4 linked regions of the Arabidopsis thaliana genome follow. The protein of the gene in region 1 interacts with the protein of each later gene in a pairwise test. Each region holds a gene or a part of one and is shown in the gene's direction. Other genes may lie near its edges.

Region 1 (7,439 bases):
TTTTCTCTGATTCCAGATCAATAACTTCAGGGGTATCCAACTTCTCTGGTTTCACAACTCGAAGAGGCGTCGGCGCCAGGATACAGCTTTCCACACCGACTGGTGCATATGATTCCATCTCCATTTTCCTTCTCTTGGCTGATGTACCATCTGAATCTCCAGACGAAAAGAGATCATCATTCTCTTGCTCTAGCTTCTTATTAATCTCACTTGGCTGGTCTTCCAGGACTTTGATTACCTCATCCTTCTTCTCAAGCACATTCGGAAAAACAGAATCTTCTTCCAATTTTGTACCTAAATCAGGTTCTTCTTTCACCTTGACATCAACACACTCATAATCTAAACCTCTCGAAACAGTTTCAACCACAGATTCCGCTATCGAATCAGCAATCATTTCTTCTTCTTTAACAACCACCAGATTATCAACACACAATTCAGGGTCCACTACCTCAACCTTCACATTACAATCACAACCCGAAGCAGTTGAAACAATTTCAACAACAGAATCTTCTATAGAATCAACAATCATTTCTTCTTCTTCTTTAGCAACCACCAGATTCTCAACAAGCAATTCAGGTTCCACTACCTCTACCTTAACATTACAATCATCACCAGAAGCACTTGAAACAATTTCAACCACAGAATTTTCTATCGAATCAATAATCATCGCTTCTTTGCGATTCTCAACATCTAAATCAGGTTCTCCAATCTCTAGATTCTGCTCCCTAAATGAATCAGATTCTACAATCTCTTTGTTCACACAAGTAAAACCATCACTAATTACCTCGTCTTTCGCCGGAAGCGTAACCTCCGAGTTAGATCCATCGGAGTCAACAAGGCTTTGCTCCGCCGGTAGAGCTGAGATTCGGACTCCAGTGGTTGTTCTGATGACTAGAGAGGATTCGTCTATAAAATCGGGAGTATCTGCAACGATCTTACGATCATCGGAACTCGAAACAGCTTCGGATTCGGTTAACCGCATCTCTGCGTCATCAACAATGGCCATTTGGGAAGAAAGGAGGAGAGGGAAGAGAGAGGCGAAAATGGAGGATGAGAGTGGGGGGCGTAGGGGTTTTAAATAGGAATTGGTCTTTTGGGATTCTAGTTTTGGCGCGAATTGAAGTGAATGGGTTTGGTAATAAAATTGGCGGGGTGTTTTTTGGAGCCGAAATTACTGTAAATCTCGCCGTTAATTTACCAAATTTATGTGTAAAATTTTGCCTCTTTGCAGGATATTTAGAGTATTTCCTTTTGCAAACCTTAAAATTAGGTAAGCGAATTTGGTTAATCGATTTTTTTGCTTTTTCAAAAATCTTACCGAAATTATGATAAAAAATTATTTGGTTCGGATATCTGCTATTTTTAAATAAAAATAAAATCTACCAACACCTTTTTCTTTTTTTTTTTTTGTTGAAATTCAGTTAATGTTTTTAGATTTCTGAGTTTTCGGTTAATTCGCTTCAGTTTTCTCAATCCAAAGGACTGGATTCGACCCAAATATTTTATTCGTGTTGCCTTCTTTAATTGCTCCATAGCTTGTATAACATCCAATATTTGATTATTGATTTGTATTTTAGGTTTGGATTCTTTTACTCTAACTGGTCATTACAAATGAGGATCCGCGCCAATTATGTCATCTTCAACATTTTTTTAATTTTTCAATGACTTATGTTTCCAGATAAATTTTATGTTAAGTGCACACTATAAAATTTTTAGATTATTATACATGTTCATTATTGTAAAAAGAAGGGCATGGATGAACATTAAGCAGTAATATAATTTGTTTTTTATTAATGTTTAACAAAATTACAATACCTTATTTAATATCACTAATACTGTAACGACAAAGTTTTCTTTCAAAACTACATGTACGAATATACTTACCCCGTCTCATACAAGCTCTTGCGCAATCAAAACAGTAACCAATTCTCCCAATTTTAAGTTCTTGGTTCAGTGAGCGTGGATCAAAAGGACTTGCTCTTGGACTGAAAGAATATGTTCTCTCTTCATCACTAGATCCATTTATAAGTACTGATGTACCTATCAAATTTTCAAAAGATATATCAAATTCTTAAACAGTTTTTGTAATGATTATAATACTGACACATTATCCTAATTAAATAATTTAAACTTACATGAAGAAACAAAAATTAATAGAGTTAAGAATATAATAGGCAACTTCATTTCTTGGTAGAAATTAACCAATATCACAAAGAAAATATATTAAATATTATTGTGAATCGTTTTTCTTTTGTTTTGCTCTGGAGTATTAAAGCAATATTTAGTCATATTTATAGACTCTGTAGATAAATATGTTATATAAAGAGTTAATTTTCAGTTAAACGTTTTATTTTGTTATAAAGTAAAATTTAGTAACATATTACGTTTGTTTTTGTTTTAAAATTATAATTTTTTAGTTATTAAAATCTGTTATATATTGGTATAAATAGTAATATACATCTAATAAGTGCAAACAATTACATGTTTAAAACTTTAGATTTCAAAAATTACTATTGATGCCCACATTTTATTTAAAATATTTAATTCGAGGAACTAATAAATATATAATATAATTTGATTAAAAATATCAAAAAGTTCTATATTATATATATACTAACTCATGATGCCTATCTTGCTTTTCTAACAAAATCTTAAATCACTTTTGGATTCCTTATTAATACTTATGATCTTAAAGATGACCAAATCAATTAAATTCTTATATGCCTCGAATCAATCCAAACTCTTTCTACATATGTATATCTTTTAGTTATAAATTGCTTAAATTATTTATTAATAAGAAAATCTTTAAATCACCTTATTTCATTTTTTTTTTTGAACAAACACCTTTCAGTTTTTATCTATAGAAACAAATTATTCTTCAAAGTCTTATAAACAAAAGTCTTTTAAGTTGTAACCTGATTATTAATAAGATTTGGTATTAAGTTTTTGAGATTGTTTTACCAAAAAAAAAAGAAAAAAACAAGTTTTTGAGATTTAAACGAAAAAAACCCCTCAAGTATCGATAAATCCATTTTAAAGCCCTCAGCTATATTATTAATGAAAAAACCCTTAACTAAGAGATTTAAGTGACAAAAACCCTTAAGTATTAATCAATTTTTTTTACTTTTTGTGCAGCATCTTCAATATCTAAATTAGTAATAAATGATGATAAACTTGGAGACTCTTGTATAACGAAATCAGAAAAAGAATTTTTCGACTTTTAAAGATATATACCTGAAACTGCATAGATTTGAAACTTTTCTAACGGGGATGACACTATCTTTAAACCGTCAAAGTTTTTAATAATATTCCAATACATGATCAAATTTCCAACCATATTTGAAATTTAGATCTTGCATATATATTAGCATTTCTTAATTTCCCTTGATTGAACTGGATACAGTTTTAAGAAAAATATAAATAAATAATGATGCTTGCATGTAGTTTATATAGAATACTCACTACATCATCACTTGAAGCACCACTTGAATGTTTATATTCACATTATTTGATCTATGCATGTTGTTTTCTTGTTGCTTTCTTTTTTTTGGTAGGGAATTGATCTGTACAGAAGTTTTCGTTTGTTTTAAGACTTAAAACTATGGTTAACCAATTAACCTTTTTTTTTGGTGAGAAGAGGGGAGACAACCGACAATATATTACTCAAAACTATATTAAACCAATTAACCTTATCAAATGGAAGTTGCACAAGATAAATTAGATAATAATTAGCATAGACTTAGAGACGTTGACCTCATTAAACCTTATCCTCTCTACACACACACATATATATATTATGCGGATATGCCCTAGTTGCTATAAAACTCGGATGTTAATTAGAATATTTATTTCTACAAGTTATCTTAATCTTAGAATAATAAACACCAAAGCGCGTCTAAATACTTTTATTTCCTAAACTTTGAATCCCAAATGTCAAAGTCTCCTATACAGATGTCAAACCTTATAATTAGCGAAATAGCATAATACAATGACAACTTGATTAATATAATCAATAAAACGAAACGCATACTCATTAAACCTACAATTATAATGAAGTCCTCTTGCAGTTTTTGGTATATAAAGTTCCACACCCTTCTCCCTCAAAACAACCAAAACCAAACACAAATCAATAACATACTAAATGGCTTCAAGAAAACCAAAGGCCAAACCGGTTAATCGCCAATCTGTGAGGCACCCAAGTCACAACCATCCGCTGCGTGTCTTTAAAGCCAAAGAAGAGGATGAGACCGCATGCTCTGGCTGCGAGCTAGAGCTGACCGGGCAAGCTTTCAAATGTATAAAGTCAGAGTGCGATTACTTCTTACACAAGTCATGTTTCGACCTTCCTAGTGAGACCAATAACAAGTCTCACCAGGACCACCCTCTGACCTTGCTTCATTCCCCACCAGATGATCGGTCTGTCTACACGTGTGACGCGTGTGACCAATACGGATCTGGATTTTCTTACCATTGCTCAAACTGCAACTACAGTCTTCATGTGGGATGTGCGTTTATCCCTGAAACCGTAGATCGTGAAGATCATGAACATCCACTCACTCTTCTTTATTGCACACCGTGTAAAGGACGTGAAGACACGTACTTCACTTGCAGCGCTTGTGATGAAACTATTTCAGAAGATCTATGGATGTATTACTGTAAGGATTGTGACTATGGAACACATCTACACTCATGTGCGGCATATGAAGACCAAGGGAAAGAAGAAGAAGATGAAGACGAAGAAGGAGAAGCGAGTTCTCCAGCTTCTAGGATAAAGTCGTTGATGAAGGCGCAAGACGAGATGGCGGCTATGCAGCTAGAGGCACGTATTGAGAATGATGCGAGGAATGCTGCACTTGATCTGTGGGATGAACCAAAACGTAGATACTATTGGTGATCAAGAAGGGACGAATATATTTATGAATATTGATATTTTTCTTTGCGAAATATGGTTTCCAAAAATAAAGAAACAATAGATATATTACTCTTTCTTGTTTGGTTCTTGTTTATTTGTGTGGATTTAATCATAAACACTCGTGTGTAAGTTGTTTATTTTGCAATATGAAGAAGAAGAAAAAATTTAAGTTGATTTGAAGATTTGTTTTCTTTCATTTTCTCTATCGTAACTCGGAAGAGGTTTAGGTAAATATGTAACATAATCAAACATATTGGAACCTTATTTATCTAGAGATGTGACGGTGATTAAAAACTTTGACCCTTTAAAAAACTTTCAAACCCGTATTTTATATAATAAAATAGATTTACAGTATAGATGAGCAAAATAAATTTGTTTAAATGTAAAATGTTTAGAAAAAAACTAACAGTTTCCTTGATTATAATGAATAAGTTTAATTTTTCAAAAATATTTTTTTATTTGTCAAGGACTTATGTTTCCCAATAAATTTCATGTTTAATGCACACTACAAAACTGTTAGATTATTATACATGTTCATTATTGTAAAAAGAAGGACATGGATGAACATTAAACAGCAATATTTTTTATTATTATTAATGTTTAACAAAGTTACAATGCCTTATTTAATATCACTAATACTGCAACGACAAAGTTTTCTTTCAAAACTACATGTACGAATATACTTACCCCGTCTCATACAAGCTCTTGCGCAATCAAAACAGTAACCAATTCTCCCAATTTTAAGTTCTTGGTTCAGTGAGCGTGGATCAAAAGGACTTGTTGTTGGACTGAAAGAATATATTCTCTGTTCATCACTAGATTCATTTATAAGTATTGATGTACCTATCAAATTTTCAAAAGATATATCAAATTTTTAAACAGTTTTTGTAATGATTATAATACTGACACATTATCCTAATTAAATAATTTAGACTTACATGAAGAAACAAAAATTAATAGAGTTAAGAATATAGAAGGACACTTCATTTTTTGGTAGAAATTAACCAATATCACAAAAAAAAATATGAAATGTTTTTGTGAATCGTTTTGGATTTCGTTTTTATTTTGTTTTGCTGTGGATTATTTAAACAATATTTAGTCATATTTATAGACTCAGTAGATAAATATGTTATAAAAGAGTTAATTTCATTTAAACGTTTTATTTTGTTATAAAGGAAAGTTCAGTAACTTATTTCGTTTGTTTTTATGTTTAAATTATAATTATTTAGTTATTAAAATATCTTATATATTGGTATAAATAATAATATATATCTAATAAGTGCATACAATTACCGGTTTAAAACTTTAGATTTTAAAAATTACTATTGATACCCACATTTTATTTAAAATACTTAATTCGAGGAACTAATACTTATATATAATAGAATTTGATTGAAAAGATCAATAATTTCTATATTATATATATACTAAACCCCAAACCAAGCACTAAGAAATATCGCAATGAATCCTACACTTCTATATCTGAAGAATCGAATCCAAACCACAAACTGAATGGGTACCATTATATAATTATATATATAAAATATTAATTATTTTTAGACTGGATGTAAGCCAATGATCCAATATTACAATTATAAATCCAAAAATATTAATTATTTTTTAGATCAAAATAACTAAAATATCCAATAATAACCAAATTATATGAACATTCTTAGTTATATTTATCAAAATTTAAGCAAAGTTTTTTTAAATTTAACCAATTGTTTTATCAGAATATTCGATATTTCGGGTACCCGAACTCGAACAAAACACCCATGGCTAGATTTTTATTTTGTGATAGTTGTTGACATCAGTATATCTAAAGATTTCATTATAGCTGGTCTAGTTAGGGTTACAAATTTGTTTGCACAGCCCACTAAAATCTCCAATGTTTTCTCACAATCTTAATGTTGAGGATTTTTTATTGAGTGCTCTATGTTGTTAATAACGAAAAATGTAGTAATTTCCAAATTAAAGAGCAAATCAACTAGTGCAATGATACATGTTTCTATCTCTCTTAGGTGATCCGAGAATAGATTTAAAAGTTTTTTTTTAATAGGTAATTTTATCATTAACTAGCAACGTTTCCCTTTTGTAAGGAGTTATCTTTATAGTGATATGGAAGAAATAATAAACACCATGACACAAGAATAATTGTAAAACACCACTAATGGAAGAATTTAAACCTCAATTATGTCAAAGTATATTAGTTGAGACAATAGATATATTACTCTTTCTTGTTTGGTTCTTGTTTATTTGTGTGGATTTAATCATAAACACTCGTGTGTATGTTGTTTATTTTGCAATATGAAGAAGAAGAAAAAATATAAGCTGATTTGAAGATTTATTTTCTTTAATTTTGTCTATCATAACTCAGAAGATTTTAGGTAAATATGCAAAATAATTAAACTTATTGGAACCTTATCTATGTTGAAATGTGACGGTGATTAAAAACTTTGACTCTTTCAAAACTTTGAAAACCATATTTTATATAATAAAATAGATTTATAGTAAAGATGAGCTAAAG
Region 2 (7,471 bases), on another chromosome or scaffold:
CAATGTCACCCATGTTATTGAACACTTTCCCTAAAAAATGGGCCTTATGATTCGGCCATATTTATAAGTAGGCCCATTTTTAGCCCAATGCAAATGTCGCATTTATCCCCACACCGCCACAGGTAAGTCTTATAAATAAAGACCTAACCCTCACTATCCACAGAAGTCTTACCATTACATTCTCAACAAAAACTCGCTGATTTGATCTCTCGTCGATATAACAATAGAGGTGTCTTACGCGTGATCTGAAACCTAGATTCGATTCAGTCAGAACTTTTGTCGAAGATGGAAAGACAAATCATGGCTTCTTCTAAAAAGGTACAACGGGAAGAGAATACGAAAGAGGAATATTTACCAAACAAGCAAGTTTCAGATGAATCAGAACAACTTGAGAAGAGTTGTTTGACAGAAGAAGAAGATGCGTGTTTGTCTGATGCTAGTCATAGCAGTAAGAAGACGATAAGGGAAGATGCAATTTGTGAATCAAAGAATAGAAAGAAGTATAAGCCAAGCAACGAATCTGGATTCAACACGTTATTTGATGATGACTGGCTTTTTGGTAACAATCAGCAAAAGAATGTTGTTACCACTAATAAAGCCGCTATCAAGAACGATGCAGAGATGATCATGAAGTTGCTGCAGAGATCATGTGGAGATTCCTTGTTTCCTAGCTAAGGCCCAGTTTTCGCCTCAATTCGGAATATTTGTATTACCATATACAGTTCCGTTCTAACTGTCTCTGTATTGTTTTCTCATCCCTCGATCGGATTTAGCCTTAGCCTGTGATCTATTCGGGTATGTATATTTCATATCCTATCATGAATATCTCTGTTAACTCGTAATCTGTATAATTTTTTGTCGTACAAGAGTTTCCTTTTTGTAGATTTCCTTTTCCTTGTAGTATTGGTTATCTACTTATCTTGTAGTCTCACATTCTTATCATGAATATCTCTATTTACTCATATTTGTATATAATTTGTTGTACAAGTGTTCCTTTTTTAGATTTCCTTTTTCCTTGTATTAGGTCTGTTGTGTATATGTATAATTTTCCCTATAGGTCAAAATAAATAATAATAGCAATTCATATACTTTGATCGTTTTAAAACAATCTCTTCCGATCCATTAATATTATGTGATAATAACGATAGCAAGAATGATCTATGAATTGTAGTTTGTTTCAACTATACAATAATTAGTTTAGTTTTCAAGAACAATAAATTTTAAATTTGATATATTAACACACTAATTAACTCAGCATGAAACCACATCATTAGTATTGCATATTCTGGTCTTATTTTATTATTTGTTTTTTAAATTACAAATTTTAGATAAATGTAAGCGTGGATAACACCTAGTTAATAAATAGATTATTATTATTTTGGTTTAAATAGGCTCTATTTTTTTTTGTAAGTTATACAATAGCAATAGATGTATATGGAATGTTATGATCTACCATGACGTTTATAAAAACACATCCAGGTTGTCACGAAACCAACTTGGTTGATGGTTTAGTTTAAGAAGTATTCCCATTCGTGCACATTCCCAGCTTTCCCCTAATTGGAAAACTATTATATTACATGTATGCGTGTATATCGTATACAAATGGTATTTGGACATTTCTTAATCTGTGAAATCTCCAATGGTATTATAATAAACGTTGCAGAGATTACGAGAGCGACTTCGCAGCCAACGGTTATTGTTTCTTGTTGGTTTCGTATTTCCGCAGCCCATCCAAGGTTGCCGCACATGCAATCAGTATAAGCAACTGAAATTTGGAAGTAAGATCATTTCAGGTTTTTATCGATCCCCCCTCAATATTTGGTCTTTTTCTGTTTAACTATTACATTGATACCTAGAGAAGAATTACTGCTCATCATGTTGTTAAATCAAGGTAATACAAAAAAAAGATATTCAGGAGAGACTTCACATATTTACCTAAATAAAATGTACAAAATAATCAAGAAGAAATTATCCGTGTGAATGTTATTGTCCATGATGATCTTGCATGAAAATCATTTGCTAAGCAGCATGTTCACCTATGTGATTAATTGGTTGTTTCAGCCATATATGAATATTTAATGCCAAGCCAAAAAAAAAAAGAGGGAAAATTTATCATGAAGGAGAAGAGTGTAGATTTGTCGTTAGACTGTCGGAAGAAACTTAATTGCAACAGCCAATTCCAGCCTGTATCTATATTCGTCGACCTATTGACTTACCTCTACGTGCAAGTATATGTATATTCAAACTTAATCATGCATGTACATAGAGACACATACATATATATTGGTGAGAGTACGTTTTAATGAGAAGCTAAACCTTTTCATTCGTTGACTATACATTATTATCTCTATAGAGTGAATCAGCCATGGCTTGTACTTCATCATCTGGTGCACACGTGCGTTCAACAAGCTGGTCCGAAGACGTTAATCCTCTGTCTCGAGCCATCGAAGATCATCTTCTGTTACTAAAGAAAAGACCAGAGTCCGCTCGTCGGAAACTTGGAGTTTTAAAGAATCTGTACGAGGTTGTCGAAGTTTTCCTCCGTTTTCAAACGACTAAAACTCAAAAGTCTTTCACAGGATTTGAAGATGTTTCTGACGGATTCATCGAGGTTCTTGATATCTGCAGCACGATCAGAGACGTTCTGATGGAGATAAAGGAACAAGTCAGGGAACTCGAATCAAGCTTGAGGAGGAGATTGATCAGAAGCAAGTCAGGAGAAGATCAAGAAGCTTTCGTGGCGCGTGAGACAGACGCGTACGTGTTTAAGAGAAGAGCACTGAGCAGAACCATCGTCAAACAATTGAAGAAAACAGAGGAGAAGATGAGGAAGAGGAAGAGAGATTGTGGAGATGTCATTAATGTAATGAAAAGAGTTGAAAAGACCAGCTTTGATGTTTTGGTTTCTTTGTTGATTGAGGTAGTGACGAAGGATCAGAGAGATCAAAAGAAAGGATCAAGGAGAGGAATTGTGTCGAGGATTTTTAATAAGAAGAATCAAGAAGTTGATGTGGATGAGCTGAAGAAGTTGAGAGAAACAGAACATGAGATTGAAGAAACAGAGAAAGAGTTGGAGTGTGTGTATAAGAAACTGTTGAAGACAAGAGTTTCTTTTCTTAACATGCTTACTCTTTGAGATTGTATAGATGTAATTTTGTTCATTGTGAAGTATTGTTGGCTTTAGTTTAGGCAAAGTCTCTCAGATCATATTGATCTTTAGAACTTGTAAAACTTTGTGTGCAGCGTTCTTAAATCATATTCAAACGATTACTTGTCAAGAATACGAGTTCGAGATAACAATTATCAGCAGATCACTTCAGTACTCTATGAATATTTCATAAGTTTATAGTTATACAATCATGAGACTGATGAGTGTATCAGTTTTCTTATCAGAAGTTGTTGCAAAACAGAGTAAGGATGAATTTGAGATAATGGGCTTATTAATTGAGTTTCATGGGCTTTATTTTATGTTTGATGGGTTGTTTGCAAAAAAAATAGCTAAAGAAATTACGCAATAATGTCTTATTTTCTCTGTGTGTTTTTATAATCACGCAATAATGTCTTCTTATTTCTCTTTTTTTAATCACGCAATAATGTCTCTACATGATGATGACAACAGAGAAAATATAATGCATGGTTGATTATTCGTTATAATTAGTAGCTATACCTTCCAAACGGGAAATCGAATAATAAGATTGCTGCACTAACAACATAATAAAAATGAAAGCATTTCAGCATTTGGAGTTGGAGGGATATGAATCTAATTATATAATTTGTGGGAAGATATTAATTTGTTGAAAATAACCTGAGATATAAAGATCTTAAACATAAAATCTAATCCAGGATGTATTCATGCGTCGAGCCGTCGAGGTGGTTACCTGATTGATAGAGAAATTAGACATATAAACATATATGTATTAATGTATGCGTATTATTACTGTCCACGTTATAGAAAAGGTATATTGGTATTTGTGTGAAACTGTGAATATTTCGCTTGTCCAGAAACATATATTGAGAGGTTAACACGTAACACAATGTCACAATCGCATGTATTGCCAAAGATAAGTTCCGGTTTTAAAATGATTATTGATCATATATTCATATTGATCAAGTAGTTACCATTATTTGTTTTCTGTTACTGTAAGACTTATATTACTTTCTTGTTGGTAATTAATATATCCATTTAACTTGATACATAAAACATATCTGACAAACCCTTAACATAATATTTAAAGTCTGATCCAAAATCTAAACATTTCTCATCTCATTTAATATTCGTCCGTCTGTTCCAAATTGTTGCAATTTACCAACACAGCCTGGCACCGTCGCTCGTGCATGCATGGTATATAGTATATAATTAAACCTTAAGACTATATATTAGAATAAAAATCTTTAAAACTATATATTATAAATTGAAAATCTAAACGAATCCACAATGTACCCTAATCCACGAGTGCCTCTTACGTACAAAGAAGGTTCCTTGTGACATGTTTTGAATCATTTAAATCATTGTTTTGATAATACCTCCAAAATGAGCTGTTCCCCGGATGTCCCACGTCCGTACAAAAACCCAAACTTGGGAACCTTCATCGTACTTTCCCTCAGATCCTTCTTAACCTCTATATATAATCTCATTCTTACACACATTCAATATATCTCTAATCTTCGCTTAAAACTCTCAAGAAGCCCTAAAAACCATTCACAATTACATCAAAAAATACCTTTTCAAATTCTTTTTTTACATTCATAAAGCTAAGTATCTCGAATAGATTAAGATCTATCTATGGCTCAGATTAACTTTGAGGGTTTGAGAGAGCTACACGACTGCGTAAACTATCTCCTCCATCACTGTCCGAAAACAAGAGAATCTCTGTCTCAACAAGGACAAGAGAAATGGACGGAACAAGTTTCAGAAGCTTCATTGAGGATGTTAGACATCTGTAACGTATCCAAAGATGTGATGACGCTCGTGAAACACAGCTTGCAAGATCTACAACTGACTCTACGTGGCAACGAATCATCTGATGTCAACGAGAAGATAGCTGCGTATAATCGGTATAAGAACAAGCTCAAGAAGGAGACACTGAAATGCTTAAACTGTTTGAAGAACATGAAAGGAAACGAAGGAAGAGTGGCCATGCCAATAGAACAGAACCTTCTGTTTGTCACAGAAGTTTTGAAGGAAGTGAGAAGAGTCGTTGTGACGATGGTTGAGTCTTTGTTCTCACTTGGTTGTATTCCTTGGCTAGAGAAGAGATCGAGCAAAGGGTCTTTGTCTTCGATCTTTTCCATTCGGTCTTCCTATTTGTTAGATGATGAATGGGACGAGACTGCGGTGCAAAGCGCGACTACGAGGTTGGAGGCGGCGGAGATTACTGTAGTGGAGCTTGAAATAGAGTTGGAATCTATTTTCCGGCGATTGATTCAGACGAGAGTTTCACTTCTTAATATTCTCACCAACTAGATAATATATGATATGTCCGGATCGGTTAGGTTTTGCTTCAAGCGGACATGTTTAGTTAACATTAAATAGATTGATTTGTAAACTTATTTTCAAGTTTGCAACATCAAATTCTTTTATTCTATATAATTTATTTTTTTACCCGTTTCCTAAACTGGCTACTTGGATTAAAGACTTGAAGTTGAAGGCACACTTTTTGTCTTCACCAAAAATAGAGTCAAAATGAAATTGTTATTCAAGTAAAATTTGAATTATAGATGTTTGTTTATTTATTCACAATTCATGTTGCTAGAATAGACATTTTCAATTTGATGATTTTGCATATTTTTTTTGGTTTTCAGATATAGTTATAAAAACCATTAACAAATTCAGTTTCGTAAGTGTTAATTTGTATACTTAACACAGCGAATATAACTAATTTCTAGTGTTTCTTTGTAATTCGTATCATTGGAGGCTGGATCTAAAAACACGAATCTCGCAATGCGTTTTATTTCAAATTAATTTGTTGACAGCAAAATAACAACATGATCAGGAAGTGCAACACACAAGTAGTAACTTAAAACAGAAGCAGCAAGTCTTACAAAGTTGTGTACAAAAACAATTCACGTCTTCTTCACAGTTCTCTTTATTTCGACATATGAAGCTGAAAATTAAGAAAAAAACAAGAGACGATCCTTTTTTCGTCATGATCTTCAAAGGTTCAGTGAGACCTAGCAGCAAAACCCAAAACCAGATTAGTGTCAAGTAGTTTGAGCAATGCTTATATGGTTACATGAAAGGTGAACTCGAGGATAACTACAAATCATCAATGTCTAAACAAAGAGAAAACTCAAAACATGTACCACTAAACTAATAACAAACATTCACAATAAAGGCACTCAATTTTCATTCACTCCCGAGAGTTTCAATGATTCATTCTAGTAGATATAAATCAAGAACATCCTATAGAGAAGTTAAAGATCCTCTAAACTTTCACCACTTGTATGAACCAAAACCAGATCAAAGCTATCATCTTTCTTCAAAACCAACTAGATAGCAGTTAACAAGAGATCTTGTTAGTAAGTGACAACTTAGAAATGCTACTCTACATTATGCATAGACATTAGCTTCATTGAGGAATTGCTATACGGTATAAACAATAATGCGTGTTTACTACGAAAAAGGAGATTTTTTAATCATCTTTCTTAATGATTCCATCGACAATACTACTAGTAAAGACATTACCTAGTGATGATCTCCGTGACCGTGATCACCATGACCATCCCAAGGGTGCCTCCATCCCTATCCATTGCCAATAGCAAGATCAGATTCAGCCACCACGAAAGATATTAGGACCAATAAAATTTACAAAAGCGAGACAAAGATAAAAAATGAAAGAGTTTTACCATAACTACAGGACCATCTTGCTTTGCCCTGTACAGAATCCAGAACCTGAAAATACCAAAAATTGAGTTTTTAAGATGTGAATGCTAGGGAAAGTTAAAACCTATGTGCGATTACTTCTTCAACCATTCTCATCGAACTGAAATTGACATAAGCAATATCTGATTCAAATTAACATCTACCTGATTAGCTCCGATACTAATTTGACAAATCCAATTTTTTGATTCAAATGGATTCTATATACAAAATTCCTCAGATGATCAATTAGCCCAAAATCCCCATGGCGAGATCTAGCTACGATCGAGATTAGCTAGGTCCCAAAATCAAAAGCGAATTAGGTGAAAGAGAGAAATCAGAAATGTACCACATAACGGCGCACAAGCCTTTTCCGGTGACGGTGTGCCAAGTCTTGGGAGTGTGGACAGTGACTCCCTTGTAAGTTATACCTCCGCCATGTCCTCCTCCACCCATTATCTCTCTCTCGAAACCCTAGATTCCCCGATTCGCACTTCAATTTCAGACCGAAAAAGCTTTCTTTCTCCTCAGCTTTGACAATTTACTACCTGAGATTTGATTCAACCATGTGAGTCGTCACTTTTAGTAAGGCCTCAATTAAAAGGCTTAGGC
Region 3 (8,145 bases), 2.1 Mb from region 1:
TTTGGAGAACATTCTACTTTAAGATAAATATTTCTAATTTTTTGGGTATTTTGATTTTTGTTTGGAAAAGTAATATACTAAAATGGATAATACGAATACTCTCTCCCACACTTAATCCAAATGGATAGACATAATTGGGTGAGAAGGAAATCTAAATAGCTTTATTGTACATTCCCTTAATAGAAGTTAAACTCTTGAGTCTTCTTAAGTTAATAAATTTATTGTGGGACAAACTAAACCAAGATAGATTTTTGTGTTCATATGAGCTTGTTAAAGTAGAAATCTAAAATTGAAAATAAGATGGTTCATTAAGTTTAATTGTGCAAGAAATCGAAAAGAAGAAAATATTCAGATTGTCACCACGATTAAAGTGGTTCTTTGACTGGTCTCATACAAAGCAAAAAAAGAAGAAGAGAGAGTTAACACAAGAAGCAACTCCTAAAGATAACTTCCCTTCTTCTCATTATACAAATCTATATAAATCTATTTTAATGACAACCCTAAACATATGGGCTAATAAGTTATTTCTATGACAATGAGTTTTTATTTTGGACAAACTTCTATGACAATGATTAAGTGTTCCAATAACTGCAGTTTGTTTGACCAAGATTTTGATTCCAATTTTTAATTTTTATTCGATATGCAATTATTAAAATCCGACTCAACCCCAAATTACGACCCAAATTCAACTAACAAACACGAATGGGATGGAGATTGATTTTTTTTTTTAGTGAATTAGGATGGGGATTGATTTTCTGTCTGGAAATGGAATAGGTTGTTGGGAACGAAAAAGCAATCTACTAAATACTCTCTATTGTACCTTCCCTTGATACAAAAGTTAAACTCTAAGTTAATGAAATTGTAGTTAGGCCAAAGTTTTTTTTCTGTTTAAGGGCAAATTATAATTATTTATTAATTGTTTATCAAAAATAAAATATCGGTCAACGCATAATTCTGACAACCGAAGTAGAATGGTTATGGTATTGGCAACATAACTTATATTTATTTGTGTATGTCGGTATGTTATAACAATATATAGTGTAGCTAACAAGACATTTTTAAAGTATGCATGTGTGACTAGATGATGACATCTCTTTCGTATAAGTAGCAAACATTTATCCATTTTTGTGCTCATATAAACTTATTAACATAAAAATCTAAAATTGAAAATAAGATAGTTAGTTAAGTTTTATTGTGCAAGAAATAGAAAAGAATAAAATATTGGGATTGTCATCAAGATTAAAGTGGTTCCTTGATTGATCTCACCAAAAAAAAAAAAAAAAGAGACTTCTACGAGAGGCAACTCCTAAAAATACTTCTCTTCTTCTTATCACACAAATTATGAATCTGTTTTGATGGAAACCTAAACACATGGGTTAATGAGCTATTTCTATAACAATGATTGGGTTGCTCTACTAATTGTAGTTTGTTTGACAAAGATTTTTATTCCACTTTTATTTTTTGTTCGATAATTCCTTATCCAAACTTGATTTAAACCCCAATTTTGACCTGAGTTCAACAAATAAACGCAAACTTAGCGAACAGGATGAGACAAATTTTCTATCTCGAAATAGATTAAATAGTTATTAAAAACTTATTCTTTTTATCAGGATTCTTTTGTTCTATTCCTTTCACAACTTTGAATTCTTTGAAGCACTTTTGTATAAAATCACAATCATTTTGTTCAGATTTTGGGAGCTGGAACTGAAGTGTTGTTTCTAAAATCTTATCAAAGGGATGCATGTTGTATTGCTTTTGTGTCGCTTATTAAACTTTCAATTTGCACCCAAACGAGAAATAAGATCAAATCCTCTTGTTTTCATTTAGATTTGTGTTGACATTTGTGTTAGTTTCTTAGTGTAAAGGAACAAGTTTGTGTTGACATACATTCTTTCTTCGTTTTTTCAGTGGCAATTGACAGTTCCTTACTTGCTACTTCCTCTAAGATTGTCACTTACTTGATAAGATGAACAACGATGATGTAAGTTTCTTTTTTTTTTCTAATGTTATAGAATTGTATGATTGAGAATTGGATGTTTTTTCCTGAATTTAGAATTGGTCGGACGAAGAGTGTTGATATTTTCTTCAACTTTGTACTGCTGAGGAAAAAGGGAATAGAAGAAAGACGAGATTAAATATAACTGGAAAAGAGTCCATCATGAGATAGTTTGAAGAAAAATTTGGGAAGAGATATTCATGGGATAAACAATTCAAGAACAAGTATGATGTGCGTAGAAGAACATACACAAAGGTTAAAAACTTGCTTCATAACAGAACTGAAATTACATATGATTCTGTGTAAAGAATAAATATAATTTTTCTTTTCATTACGTTTACCTAAGTATTTAAGAAAGCAAGTAAACATACTTTTAATAACTAAAGGTCGCTGAAAATTCTAAAAATTGTAACGTGAATTCTCAAAACTGTAAAAACTGATTCTTTTTATTGTACCCTATATGTTAACGTTAATTCTCATAACTCTAAATTCTTATTTTTCCATCAAAATCATGACGTCAATCAAACTGTTAAAAGGCGAGATACAAATATAAATATTGTACTAATATTGTTAATCTGAAATATCTACTATTCAAACATATTTGTTTGAAGTATATCATATTACATGATACATTTTTTGGTGATGAATCAAATTGATGAATAAACATTTCAATATGAAATTTACTTGTTTTTGAATAATTATGTAATACTTTTTTTTATTAGTTATATTTTGTAAAAAAATATAATATTTTATTATAAATTTCATCAATTGACACATATTCATTCATGACAATTTTTTTATCAAGCTTGAGATCCTCAAAATGGTTTTATCATTAGTTATATTTAAAATTTTAACATTAAATCATAATAATATAAAAATTTGGTGTTTTTCAGTTTTCTAAAATTATAAATTATATTATTTTGGTATTTTGTATTTACCGTTATCGCACATGCTAGTTAACCAACTATAAAACTTCAACAAACGTAAAATTTAACCGCTAAATCAATCATTTAAAATATATGATAACTCTTAAAACCGCAACTCTCCGTTTCCATAAATTTCAGCAGTCTGCATTTGAACCATTCAAGCCTCGTAGTTTGGTCAAGAACCGATTACGCGGCCAAATCTTATATCCGACGCTAAGTCGCTAACCATGTGGAAACCATTATTTATCAATAGAAATCAAAACGACAAAACCCGACCTAAACCGAAATCTCAAATTCGAACCCAAATCCAACTTACAAACCTGACCTTAACCGGAAATCAGAATCCGAAAACATTTTCCCTTATAGCAAGGTTTAAAGAAAGCAATAACAAAACCCTATCTCTCGTCTCTTCTCCCCCAAACTCTCGCCGCCGTGATAACCCAAAGTTCTCGACGAAGCCATGTCTACCGGAGAAGAAGGTCACATGGCGATGGCAGATAGAGGCTCTAGAAAGAGAAGAGTCGGCGTTAAGAAAGGTACTAAAGCGGCGAGGAACAAAAAGCAAAAATCAAAACCTTCTACTTCCGATAGGTTTAAGGTTACAATGAAGAATCAAAAGCTATTTCAGAAGAGAGCACGAGATTACAATTCCGATGACGATGAAGAAGAAGATGATGAATCGAAGAAACAACCAGAAGTAACAATTCGTGAGAAGATCTTCTCTGATGCTAACATGGGACCAAATTACGAAGAGATTGGAGAAGAAGATAATGATGAGAATTCAGATGGTGAAGATCATGGAGAGATTGAATCTGGAATCACTAAGTTTGCTACTGATGGATGTAATGCTTTCAAAATCGCTTTTAAAGCTATTATGAAGAAGACTAAAGGAGATGATACATTGGTGAGATTTTATAGCAGATTCTAGTTTTGAGTTTTGATTTGGGAATATAGTGTTGAACTGTGTTGGTGTTGTGTGTAATAGGGCCCAGTTTTATCAGCACATAAGCATCTTATTGGAGAGAAGCTAGCTGAAGATGAAGCTGAAAAGAAAGCTAAAGGTCAAGCTAGAAAGGCTAAACATTTGGTATGAGTTTGGTTGTTGTGTTCACTATTCGTTTGTGTTCTTGTGTTTTAGATGATGATTTATCTTAACAATTGCTTTTTTAAGATTGCTGAGAAGGGACATGTTAAACCTGGAAGTTATTTGGATTCTCATGAAAAGATTCTTATTGGTGTTGCTACTAAAGGAGGTATTGTTGCTTTGGTTAAACTCTCTGTTTCTTGAGATTGTTTGGTTTTTTTTTTTTGTTTTAGTATTGACTCTTTTTTTCCTCTCCATGAACTTGTGGTATCACAGTGGTCAAGCTTTTCAATGCTGTAAGTTTGTTTCTATGTCTATTTTTGAGGTTTTTATTCTCCGGTAGTGATTCGTATGATTCTTAGTTTATGTTTTTCAAATAGGTCAACAAGGCTCAACATGCTCAGAAGGGTTTGAATCCTTCAAGGTCTAAAGACGCTAAAGGTAGGCTTAGAAATTGATCGTTGGCATGAATCCACTGTCTTGTTCTTATCTTCTAATTCTCGTTTTTTATCCTATTGGAACATCCATCAGTGCTGAAGAAGCGAAGAAAAGAAGCATTCTTGTCTGAGTTAGGGAAAACAAAAACAGACACCAAGGTTTGGCATAGTCTCCATATCTCTTACTCTCTCTCTTTCATTATGATTTATCTTGAGAGTTTATTCCTTAGCCGTTTGATGCACGTAGAAACAAGTTAGTATTCTGTCTTGATCTAGCTCCTATAGAGAGTCACGAAAAGAATCACCTCATGAGTGAGTGATAGATGTTAGTTATAAATCAGAAGTATTCTTAGTAAATTACTAGTAACAATTTTGAATGTTCTTAAAGCCTTCAACTTTGGATGAACATAGAAGCAAGTTAGTATTCTGTCTTGAGCTGGCTTCTATAGAGAAAGGATCACCTTCAGTAGCGAGAGCCGTTAGTTATAAGTCTAAAGTATTGTTGGTTAGTTAACTAGTGATATTCTGTTGGATGGTGCAGGCTCACAAATCTGAAGACGAAGCTCCTGTTTGGGCTCCTCTACGAGATAATTACATGTTAGCAAACCCAAAACTGAAGGACTGGGACAAGAAACAGGTATCTCTTCATTCTTATCCACAAATCTGGAATCACATAGCTTGCATACTGATTTATACTCTTTGATCTGAAACTTAAAATTGAATTGTCCGCAGGAAACAAGCGAGGGAGATGATTTTGCCGGTTTGTCAGGAGATGAAAGTTATGAAGACTGAAGAGTTTAAACTAGTAGTTAAACGAGCAAACTTTAATTTTGCCTTTGTATCATGCAAATTTTGTCTGATCAATATGAATGAATTCAGTTTTTTGATAGTGCAAAAGGATCCTGAAAGGTTGTGATTCTTGTGGTTACGCTTTTAGAAAATACACTTGTTAGTATCATTAACCAATACCGTAAATATAGAAGTGATGATACTCCAAACTTCTACATGGTTATTATTTATATGACGTAAAAAAAATATACATTCGTTGTTTTGCCTTGGCTACACAAATTATAATAGGACAAAATTTAAGGATCATGAACCTGAATCTGTAGAAGAGTTTCTAGTTTCACAGTCAAGTCATGATGCCAAATGACAGAAGAAGATAACAAACTTTATGCAAAAAATGAGGCAGAACTGCAGAAGCATGCGCCTTTCTAAGCAAGTATGACGCTTTTGAGGCGGAGAACTCGTGTTCCTTTTCAACCAATAATGGCTTCCAGATCCATCGCTGCCAATTAGTTGCATCTCTGTCTTATATCTCCACTTTGTGATCTTTCATTGTTTTGAGGTTTTATCCTCAGTAGCTTCTTGTTGGGCTCATCGGGTCGTAATCATAAGCTTCACCGGACTTGACAAACCGTCCTTTCACACGCCGTCTCACATCAGCCCTTTCTTTCCTAGAGACATACCTTACTCGCTTGTCAAACCTATTTATACAAAATATGTTAAATATTAGCTATAACAACTTTCAATGATGAATTAAATTCCTTTCTGTGTGCGTTTATACTTACTTGCGAGCCTTCTTCTTTTCCTTGTAACGCATAACAGCGTTATTACGTGTTGTTGCATGTGAGGAAGCAATAATGTCCTGTGCTGTTGGATGGCACCATGGTTGTGGCTCCCTTGAAAGCTGCTTCATCGATGACGCCCCACAATCTTGGAAATCTCCAGCATTACTTTCTCCAGTGATGCCAGAGAAGGAGATATTCGAATGTGCTGGCTTTGATGAATAGCAAATTATTGGCTCGGTTCTACAAGTCATGAACGAATCTGCAGATGCATTATTGCTTAATGCTGGCTGCTGCATTGAGCCCTGAATTGAGAAAACACACAAAAGAGCATAAGGATCACAGAAAAAAATCATCCTTAACTTTAGTGATACTAGTCTCAGATAGAAGAAGAAGGTTGACAAAACCTCATGAGCTTCATCTTTCTCGAAAAGACTTCCAATTCCACCGTGCTCGAAGAGATATCTTGATGAGTTGAAGGCTGAACCAAAGAGTTCTTCATAGTTCTCAAGAGCCAAGTCTACTTCATCTGAAATGAGATTTCCATTGAAGTCATCCTCACATACTCCAAGCTCCTACAACCAGTACAATAATAAGAAACATTTAGACGCTAGTTGCTTTCAAGATCTTACCACAATATGAAGAAAATCATGTTAAAATACCTTAGCCATTGATGAATTTTCTGGAACACTAGAGTGATCCATACCTTGTGCAGCCGAACTGGTTTCAGGCTGTTCTACATTAATTTTTTGGACACCAGATTTTTCTCCTGTGCCATCTTCATCTATAGTCATCAAACCCATTCCTTGCTCACAAGCGGATTCTTCAGCAGAAGAGATATTCAAATCCATACAGAAAGACCATATCGAGGATAATTCGGCACTCGAGGGACAACCAGAATAACAATTGATGGTTTGCCTTTTATGATGTGAAGTAGTAGTAGAATTCTTGCCGTCATGGCCTGACCAATCACAGTTTTGACATAGAGAAACCCTCTCATCACTACACCGGACAGAAGCTGGCTGTGCATTACACCTCTCACATACCAAAGTCCGCGAATGACGTTTCGATAGAGCATTAGCAGAATGAACATTACGGTCACACGAAAGACACAAACACGCTGCATCAGATCGACAATACACCATTGATCTTTGTTCACCACAGAAATCACACATATAACCCATCTTTCAACCAATCTCAACCGTCACACTGAAGAAAGCAAGCTCCTTTCACTAACAAAGAATCAAACCATTTTGGTTAGTCCCTTATATCATAATCTTAGAAGGAAAAAAACTTACCACAATACATTAAACAACTAACAAAAGCTTGAAACTTGGTATCGAAAGCAAGTCCAGAATTAGATAAAAGTCCAATCTTTTTAAACATCTCTTCCTCAAAGATTGTAACTTCCTATGGATGAGACTGTTCTAAATCAAAGACCAATCAAAAGAGACATCAGAGAAACCAATTAACATCGCAGAAAGACTTCAAATTTCAGATCAACATGTACCAATCAGAGAAGTGAGCTAAAAAATTATAGATTTCTTATTACAAATCCGAGAGAAGTGAAAGAAGATCCATTTCAAGATCAGTCAAAAAGGATTGAGAATCAAAGCAACCCTCACTAAAATAACAAGACAAGGGTTTTAAAGAGCTCACGTAGGAGAGATCGTCAAGTATCTTCTGAAGCAGAGACACCAAAAATGAATGACTTTTGAAACGAATAAGCGATGATTCCACAAATTTCTTCTTTAGCTGCGTGTGAAGAAGGGTAAAAGGAGAAACAGATGGATAGACAATGGGTGGGTTGTGTCTGCAAAGGGACATGTAGGCAGAGGCATGTGACATAAGCTGATAATTCTAGAAACATTGGGTAAAAAGTTCAAAAGAACCCATTTTCTAAGGACCCTAAAGATATTTTTATGAGTATGAAGTCACGCGCTCGCGTGTAGACAAAGAGCCGTACTCGCGATCTACAAGGCACAAGTGGAACTTTTCCGATTCTGGATTCTCAAAAGCGTCTTCTTTTAGATGCTTTAAGGCTTAAAAGCCCAATCACAACAATAGTCTTTGCTTTGACTTTACAAAAAACCAAAATATCTTAATTTGAGAGACGCACATGAATGAACAAAAT
Region 4 (8,414 bases), on another chromosome or scaffold:
TGGATGCCCACAATGTCACTTCCAATCATGAACAACAATTGACAAGTCCAGTTAACTCTCATCCAAGGCTTCTGACATGGACATAACCTATTGTTGATTGAAGCCCCGCCACTAAATAAAAGCTATTGTTGATTCCAGCAATGTTAACCTCCAGCTTGGTAAGGCTGGCAAGGAGGACCAGCTCCAAGGCGTAGTTATAAGTCTAGCTCGACATGTGGTTGTAAATGTTGAGTAAAACGTTTTAAGATTTGGGAGAACCTTAAAACAAAATGACTATGAACGAGATATCTCACCACACGAGAACGTCTTCCTCTATGACGCCGTTCTCTACCATGTCCCTCCATCACCATCAGCTTGAATAGGCACACGATCTAGACCCCAACAAGCATGAGGCTACATGTTCAGATGTTCTTGGTCAATCATAATAAAAACTGACAATATGATAATAAAACACTAACTATCACTTTGTGAGATGAAAACGGTATGACCTTGAGGGAATGATTGGTTAAAACACAAGTGTTGTAACATCTATAGAAAATGTAGCAAAACATCACGTCCTCGTCATAGCAAGCTATTAGGGTCGGGTTTTGTCAGCAAGTTTGATATAAAGGTGATTGCATATGACCCTGCTCATTACGAACGTAAAGGTGAATGCATATGACCCTGAAAAATTCGTGGAGCTTGATTATGCCAACAATAGTTCATGGGGAAGAGACTTCTCTCGGCTGCCATATCGCAAAAGGAGGAGCCGGTAGTAAATTGAAACAAGAGGCTCCGGTTTTGAAATTTACGAGAGAGTCTCTTACAAATAACACAAAGCTTACACCTCATATGGCCTCATGATTGTGCATAATTGATCGCAATTATCACAAAGAAGAATCTTCTTGGGCTCTATAAATGACATTGTTTGAAGCTATCCATGATTCACTCTCCAATGCAAACATCCATCTCTCGCAATCATTGTTTAATTAATACGAAGTGACAAAAAGGAAAGTAGCAACATACGGGAAGCAGAATGACTTAAGTTGCAACATAAGAGACGAGAAATTAATCACAATTAATTTATTATGTTGTTCTATACCACATCAAGGATCATAATTTTCATTTCTGCACTTTATAATTTTTAATCAATATTTTAAAACGAATTGCTCGGAAAATCGCTGATTAAAAATTTTGATATCTAATTGTTACGACTAGTTGCTATATAGGTAGCTGGATATGAGGCAACAAAGCTCATATGGTATGGTTTGGTTTGGTTGTTGTCATTAACTAGTGGTCGTAGAGTCTCTATCTTCACTAGAGAAGAACAAACAAATAGATCAAAATTCAAAAAATCAAAAAGTAATTATAGAAAATTCAAATGAAAAAGGAGTGAGAAAAAAGGTTAAAATCTTTCAAATTCTTAAGTTACACTAAATTAAAAAGATGTAAAAAGAAATTTATAGTAAATAGAATAACCATTGCATTTATTTTTTGGTGCATTGATATAGTTAATATTGCATTTATTATGCAGTTTGTTATATATATATATATATTTTTTTTTGTTTAAATGCATATTTGTTACGATACTTATACATACCTCTGTCTTGGAGTTAGCTTTTTTGTTATCATGTTCTTGGGTGTGTTTATCAGTTCAGTCGGAGTGGATTGATCAGAAGAATTGTTGAGGGTTTGTTCCCATGTTCGTTATTAGGATGCGTTTATGAGATGGTATTAGGTGAAGAGGTATCTACTAGCCTTCCTCTGTGCATGTTTTGGAGTAGGGCCGGATTGGTCTCAATACGATGCATTAGGATTGATATTCAGTTCTTATCTTAAGAAAGATGGTCAACCTTTTGTTTATAGATGGATGAAGCTAGGTTTTCGAACGGCTCCATTTTCTAGATGTTAGTCTTACTAGAGTATCACCTTGTCGGAGTTTCAGGTTTTTTCCTCTTGCCTTGGTCAGTTAAATAGTGTGGCACTTTGATATTTGTTTTGGAGCTCGGGTTTGGGCATTCTGTGGATCAGCCGATCCTTGGATTTTGTTTGGATGTTGGTTCTCAAGGCTGTGGATCAAAGATTTTTAGAAGAAGAGGTGAATTTTAGATTTCCAAACTTGGTTTAAATATTATATTTGGTTGAAATATTGGTTATAAATCTCGAAAATAAGATTTTAAATCCTTTCATCAAAAAGAATATTATTTTCATAATTCTGTCGGACAACAGTGATGGAAAGAATAAGAATTTTTATTATTATTAACAAGATGATGACGTGGTAACAATGTCATCAAAACCGTGACATCCACGTCACCAACGTTATCAAGGACATGACATTCATGTCATCAATGATGTATGATTTTGCATGATTGGATAAATTCATGTATTGGAACTTAAATTATTTAAAACGTTAGATATATATTAGTAAAGAGAAAACTGTTAGGTATAAATTGAACACTGATACTTTGTTTGGATATGAAAAAATTGACTTTCCTCTTTGTGCAGCTCCGGCGTCTACTACTTTGATGGGAAGGTATGTGGGAGTTTTCTTGGATTGAATTGTGGGGGCTTTTGTAAAAATAGGAACATTTTGGCCCAATAATTAGAAAAAAGGAACATTTAGAATGGGCTTATAGGTTTGGGCATATGTTTGCAACAAATATGACGCTTTTGCCCTTCGTCTTCAACACCATCGTCTTCAACACCATTGTCCAGACATCGATTTTGACGATTCATAGTGTTATTAACAACACCATCGTCTTCAACAAAATTTTCCAGCCAACATGTCTATTCTGATTAACCCAATCAATCAAAATAAATGATTTTTGATTGAAGAAATCTAAACCCTAAAGGGATACTATCTAGGGAACCCTTGGGTTCTAATCTTAAACACTCCAATTCATTATTAATTCTAAACCAAATTTGATTTTTATTGTCAATAGAGTTCATCATCATCGTCACCAACTAATAACAGAGGATTTGGAAAAGTAATTCTAGAGATCCAAACTATCACCTTCGCTTCTCACTATCGCTCAACTCACCATCGTCGTTGAAACTCACCATCGTCGCCAACGCTAATTGGAGGTCGAGATCTTGCCGTCTTTTTCATCACGAGACATGATTCATGAGTCACCGCCGTTGCTTCTTACCGTTGTCAAAATCGTTGTTGTTGCAGGAGCTCAATCACCATTGTAGGTTCAGTGGTAAGGGTAAACTCGTAAAATACTTGCATAGAAAAATACTTAAATCTATAAGGCATATGAGATATGTCTGTTTTCATAAAGATATAAACTTAATTGTGTCAATCCCATAATTAATCCCTAAATTGTGAGTTGCAGTTTTAGAGTTTATGAGTCTTTTTTAAAAAAATTATTATGTTCCATTTTAATATATTTTAGTACCAGGTTTACTTCCCCTTTTTTTTGGGTTTTAACTTCTTTCTTGTTTGAGTTTTGCTTTAGAGATTTTAGTTTTTGTAAAGCAAAAATTTGCTCCTGATGAATCATGCCTAATGCTACCTGTTCTTATTGTCGATTTGGTAGTCTTTCATTGCAGCAAATATTCTTTCAATCACTTCTTTCAAAAAATCTACATATACATTTTTGCAGCCATTTTAACAAATAAATCCTGAATTTGGACTTATTTACAACTCAATGCCATTAGCATTAAATCTTTTCTCCAAAATAATTAATTTTACTTGATTTAAATTGTCAACCACATTATCAATCAAATTTAACCCTTAAAATTAGCATAAACATATTTGTTAACAATATTTTAAAACAAAGTTTTTTGTTAAAACAAATATTATTCTTACTAAACATTTTTTGTTTAAATAAATAAATCATGTATTTGAACTTATTTACAATCTCATGACACTGACATTAATTATTTAGGAATGAAAATATTTAATTAAAGATTTAAATCTTCTAAATCCTTGCTTTTAGAGTTATTATGTCATTACCTTAAAGGCTCAAAATATAAAATAAATAAATATAATTATTTAAATATTTTAAATTTATAAAACATTATTAATATTTAAAATTATAAAAAGTTTAATATATCATAATTTTTTAACATCATTATATAATATATAAAGTTTAAAAAAATCTCTATTCTTTCCGCCATAATTTGTGATTCGAAATTTTAAAAATAAACATATATTAACCAATTGGCGAAAAATGTTTGAGTTCAACGTCCCACATCGACTAAAATATTTAGACAATAATTCATAAACATATCATAAATAAGATTAACATTAATAAAATAATGGTTTTTTTACGGGACGGGTTTGGCGTGACGGGTTTGGCAGAACGTTACTTAATAACAATTGTAAATTATAAAATAAAAATATTTTATAGATAGATACAATTTGCAAAATTTTATATATATTAACTTTAAAATATAAATTGTCCCCGCGGTGTACCGCGGGTTAAAATCTAGTATTGAAATATTTTGGTTTCAATTATTTATTTATCGGGAATTGATTTTGAATTGGTAGTGTGAATTATTGGTGTCACTGTTATACCGCGCTGGCAATTAAATCGATAGGGTCATATAGATGTCATTAGGTAATCGCAAGAGTAATATATTTTATGGATATGGTAAGGGTTGATGCTTTGTCATGGTTTTTATTATTATTATTATATATAAATGTAAATATTAATGAAATAGTGTGTATATATATATATAATAGTTTTGGAATTACATGATGTATAATGTATATAGGGGTTGAGAGACCTATGACCGGTCAAAATTTGGGGGCCAAAGTAACAAATTATATATTTGGGGTTATTATAAACTGTTTTGAAATTTGGATATATTTTTCTTAGAACTAAATATATTTGGAAGCCTATTTATAAATCAGGTTTGCTGTAAAAAAAAGTTTTTAAAAATGGAGACAACATACAAATGTTTCATGTTGCTTCTTTCAGAGCCGGCCCGGGAGAAGCGTTGCCAAAAAAGAATAAAGACAAAGGTAACAAATAAACAAAGAAGACACAACAGTGAATTCATCTAATCCAAAGTTGTATGTGGTTTCCGAAATGCTTCCTTTGTCTTGTTCCGAATCTCTCTGTCGATGAACTTGAAAATGGTGTTTCACGTTCATTCAATAAAAAATAACAACCATAGTGTACACAGAGACTGATAGTGAAATAAAGGAAAAAAAAACTATAATCTGTTAAATTCAGATAATATCTATTATTTTTTTGTTTTGTTGAAAAATCAAATCTCTAGTAACATTAATGAGTATGAATCGTGTCTGGTAGTTGGTACGAATCGAGATCTCATCAATGGGTTTTTTAAGCTGCTTTGAGACGTGCGTAACACGAAGTTGTCCACTATGACTTGCTCTTGTACTTATAAGTTAAAATAATGATGCAGCAGAAAACAATTACTATTTTGTGAGACACGTATATCCCAACAAAACAATATGTCGTAGAACGTGCTAATTAATTAGTGAATACCTACGTGTCACGATCTCATGAGATTGGTGTATTACTGAGAACTAACGATCTCATGAGATTGGTGTATTACTGAGAACTAATCACTAATAAACGTGAATCTCGTGACACATATTATCATTATGCCTATATATACGTACATAAAACAAGACATTATTACAAACACAAAATATAGAAAAAGAAATAATGTATTCAGAGGAAAAGAAAAGCAGAAATTATGGTTCAATCTTTGTCTACTGCTTCTTCTGTTTCGTACTCATTGTGGAGGTTGCAAGATTCGCAAAACCTTATATCAACCTTCAAAACCTAATTGAGACGGAAGCAGTAGTAGAAGAAGGTTTCATGGCGGTGGGGAACTCAGGGAATCTTCCGTGTGGCTCGTCAAAACCTAGCTCTGCCTCTGTTCGTGCTCATGATGAACAGAAGCTCTCGCAAGCAGTAACAACAGATACGAGAACTCGTCCTCCAAATTCGTACTGCGTGAAGTTCCAGTCTTTTGTCACTATGGCAAAGCAGGTCAAAGAAAACGGTGGCAAGTATGAGTCACGTCCTTTCTCCGTCGGTGGATACAATTGGTACGTACGCGTTGACTTCCATTTCAAAAATGTTGAGAAACCATACCTTATACATAGAAGATATACATTTTTTTTTGTCAAAGGGTATTCATTTATATACTAGTGTTTTGATCATCTCCACTTTCTATGTGAAAGATTTTAACTTATTGCTCTGAATCTCACCCAAATTTTAATTTGTATATAATTTGACATATTTCTACTTAAAATGTTATAAGGACGCTCCTAATCTACCCAGTCATATACATTCCAACGGACTCGGGTGGGTACGTTTCGATTTACGTAAGAGTCGATAACTCAAGCCTCATCACCAATCCAAAAGATGTGTATGCAGAGATCACATTCCTCGCTTATAAAAGCAGTACAGACAAGTACCAAATAAGCCAGGGTACTAATTAACTAATCTAGAGCAAGTAAATATATATGTTTAAATCTTTTGTGGTTTGTTCAGACTAGTTATTTAAGTTTGATCCGTTTGCAGAGACTGAGGCCCAGCGATTTCATTTGTTTAAACAACAGTGGGGACTTTTACAATTTCTACCAATTTACTATTTTGAAAATCCGGCATATGGATACTTTTTCGAGGGCGAAAGCGTTGTGTTTGGCGTTGACATCAACATTGTTAAACCCTTTGAAAATTGGGAAGTGTTCTCTAATGAACAAAACATTCGTGACCCTATTTTCGAATGGAGACTCACCAAATTCTCTACACGTTTTCTTGACTCTTACACTTCTGATTCCTTTTCTTCCGGAGGAAGAAACTGGTACGTGTGACTTTCTTCCTCTTGTATATATATAACAATACGTACAAGATGTGTTAGTTTAATAATATGATGGTTTTTTACATTGAAGGGCATTGAAAGTGTATCCAAATGGAGTTGGAAATGCTACGGGTAATTCGTTGTCACTCTATTTGTTGAGTGATCAGTCAAATGATAAGGGTTATGTGGAAGCTAAGTTACGAGTTATTGACCAGATCCAATCCAACAATTTCGAGAAAAAAGGTTTGATATCTACTTTGTCAACTACTACTACTAATTTAAAGCTAATTAATTATAATTAATGAGCCTTTAAAAAATAAAAATAACTTTTGATTTCTTCCTATATACACAGTGGCGGCATGGCCCAATGCAACGGAGAATGGATGGGGTTTCGACAGGTTTCTATCATTTGCAGATATCAAAAACACATCAAAAGGTTTCCTAGTCAACGATACTCTCAAACTTGAAGTCCAGATCTTGTCCTTCTCGAAAACCGACTACTACTCTCATCAATCGTCTCTTAATGTTTTAACGGGAGATAGTACTTAGGTGACTAATCGTCGCTAGTGTAATTTTACAACTGGCTACTATCACTTTGCTTCATTGTGTTTTTTGTTTCTGTTCAATAATAATGAGTTCGAGCTTTCCTATGTCAAACTTGATCAATCTGATTTCACATATTGAATACCAAATTGGATAGGATGAAAGAGGCAGTCCCTAGGATGTTTTTTTTTTTTTTTGGATTTAAAGATTGGGTACGTAATCCATTCACATTTCCTTTTATAATTGTCCACTTCTTAATCGTTTAGTCGATCGTCTACGGCTTCAATAATTGTAGTTTTGTCCTTAGTAATTGATTATTCTTTTCACTTCGTTTTTCGTCCACTAATACAATTACTACAATGTTGTTCTTCTCCATAAACATTATCTACATCGATTCCTCTCTATTGCTTGTAGTTGTACAGTTGTCTACTGCGCTTAAACTTTTTGTTCACTTTTCATTTATGTTCCCGTCCTCGGCTTCAACTACTGTACTTTTGAAGATTTGTTAGATATACTAGGAACATGAACTGCTACTAAAAACTTGTCCACGGTTCCATCTTCGTGGACATCTGTATTTTGTTTACTTCGTTTCTCGTCGACTGCTACAACTACAGTATTGTTGTCCATCATCCCTTCTCCGATACATTATCTACATCCATCTTTCTTCGTTTCTCGTCGACTCCTACATGTTTGGGTGACAAATCATCAAGTGATAAATTATTATTGTATTAAAAGCAACCATTTTTATTGTATAACAACCATCATAACTTTCTTTCTGTCCACATTTAATGTGCCACGCCACACCATCATCTTATCTAGACGTCAACTGCTTTTGGCAGAGGTGTCAGCCTCATTGGGCGAAATGTTTTGTTTCCCTCCATAACCAATTAAAGGTAGTTTAGACATCTTCTCCTTTGTCAAAAGCTGACTCATTGCACAATTTTAAAGATATAAAAAATAGCATTGCCGACAAAATATTTATACAAATATGGCACAATTGGCAAAATTCCCTTAAAAAACATAAATAGTACTTAACAAGATTATATCACTTGATGATTTGTCACCCAAACATTTTCTAAAAATTCTTGATCTGAATT

What was found.
Region 2: the proteins of AT5G43520 (region 1) and AT1G76210 interact in a two-hybrid assay, tested with the Arabidopsis thaliana proteins (one large-scale study listed by BioGRID).
Region 3: the proteins of AT5G43520 (region 1) and AT5G48240 interact in a two-hybrid assay, tested with the Arabidopsis thaliana proteins (one large-scale study listed by BioGRID).
Region 4: the proteins of AT5G43520 (region 1) and ZW9 interact in a two-hybrid assay, tested with the Arabidopsis thaliana proteins (one large-scale study listed by BioGRID).

Annotation. Positions count from the first base shown.
Region 1 is NC_003076.8:17,482,894-17,490,332, reverse strand, and holds AT5G43520 (Cysteine/Histidine-rich C1 domain family protein), read left to right. Parts: upstream 1-4,023; 5' UTR 4,024-4,141; coding exon 4,142-4,894; 3' UTR 4,895-5,102; downstream 5,103-7,439. Other genes in the region: AT5G43530 (Helicase protein with RING/U-box domain-containing protein), read right to left, coding at 1-1,006; LURE1.5 (Putative membrane lipoprotein), read right to left, coding at 1,817-2,040, 2,136-2,184; LURE1.4 (Putative membrane lipoprotein), read right to left, coding at 5,532-5,755, 5,851-5,899.
Region 2 is NC_003070.9:28,593,195-28,600,665, reverse strand, and holds AT1G76210 (DUF241 domain protein, putative (DUF241)), read left to right. Parts: upstream 1-4,669; 5' UTR 4,670-4,783; coding exon 4,784-5,464; 3' UTR 5,465-5,716; downstream 5,717-7,471. Other genes in the region: AT1G76230 (uncharacterized protein), read left to right, coding at 286-675; AT1G76220 (hypothetical protein (DUF241)), read left to right, coding at 2,366-3,136; AT1G76200 (NADH dehydrogenase ubiquinone 1 beta subcomplex subunit), read right to left, coding at 6,686-6,742, 6,847-6,892, 7,209-7,315.
Region 3 is NC_003076.8:19,555,919-19,564,063, forward strand, and holds AT5G48240 (Rrp15p protein), read left to right. Parts: upstream 1-3,324; 5' UTR 3,325-3,382; coding exon 3,383-3,826; intron 3,827-3,907; coding exon 3,908-4,009; intron 4,010-4,093; coding exon 4,094-4,175; intron 4,176-4,282; coding exon 4,283-4,302; intron 4,303-4,386; coding exon 4,387-4,447; intron 4,448-4,537; coding exon 4,538-4,602; coding exon of another isoform or gene 4,603-4,673; coding exon 4,674-4,759; exon of another isoform or gene 4,760-4,854; coding exon 4,855-4,909; exon of another isoform or gene 4,910-4,984; coding exon 4,985-5,080; intron 5,081-5,175; coding exon 5,176-5,235; 3' UTR 5,236-5,357; downstream 5,358-8,145. Other genes in the region: BBX8 (B-box type zinc finger protein with CCT domain-containing protein), read right to left, coding at 5,801-5,930, 6,015-6,316, 6,419-6,586, 6,674-7,195.
Region 4 is NC_003070.9:21,611,303-21,619,716, reverse strand, and holds ZW9 (TRAF-like family protein), read left to right. Parts: upstream 1-5,547; 5' UTR 5,548-5,627; coding exon 5,628-6,016; intron 6,017-6,231; coding exon 6,232-6,401; intron 6,402-6,494; coding exon 6,495-6,777; intron 6,778-6,865; coding exon 6,866-7,017; intron 7,018-7,126; coding exon 7,127-7,323; 3' UTR 7,324-7,914; downstream 7,915-8,414. Other genes in the region: AT1G58265 (Cytochrome P450 superfamily protein), read right to left, coding at 8,329-8,414.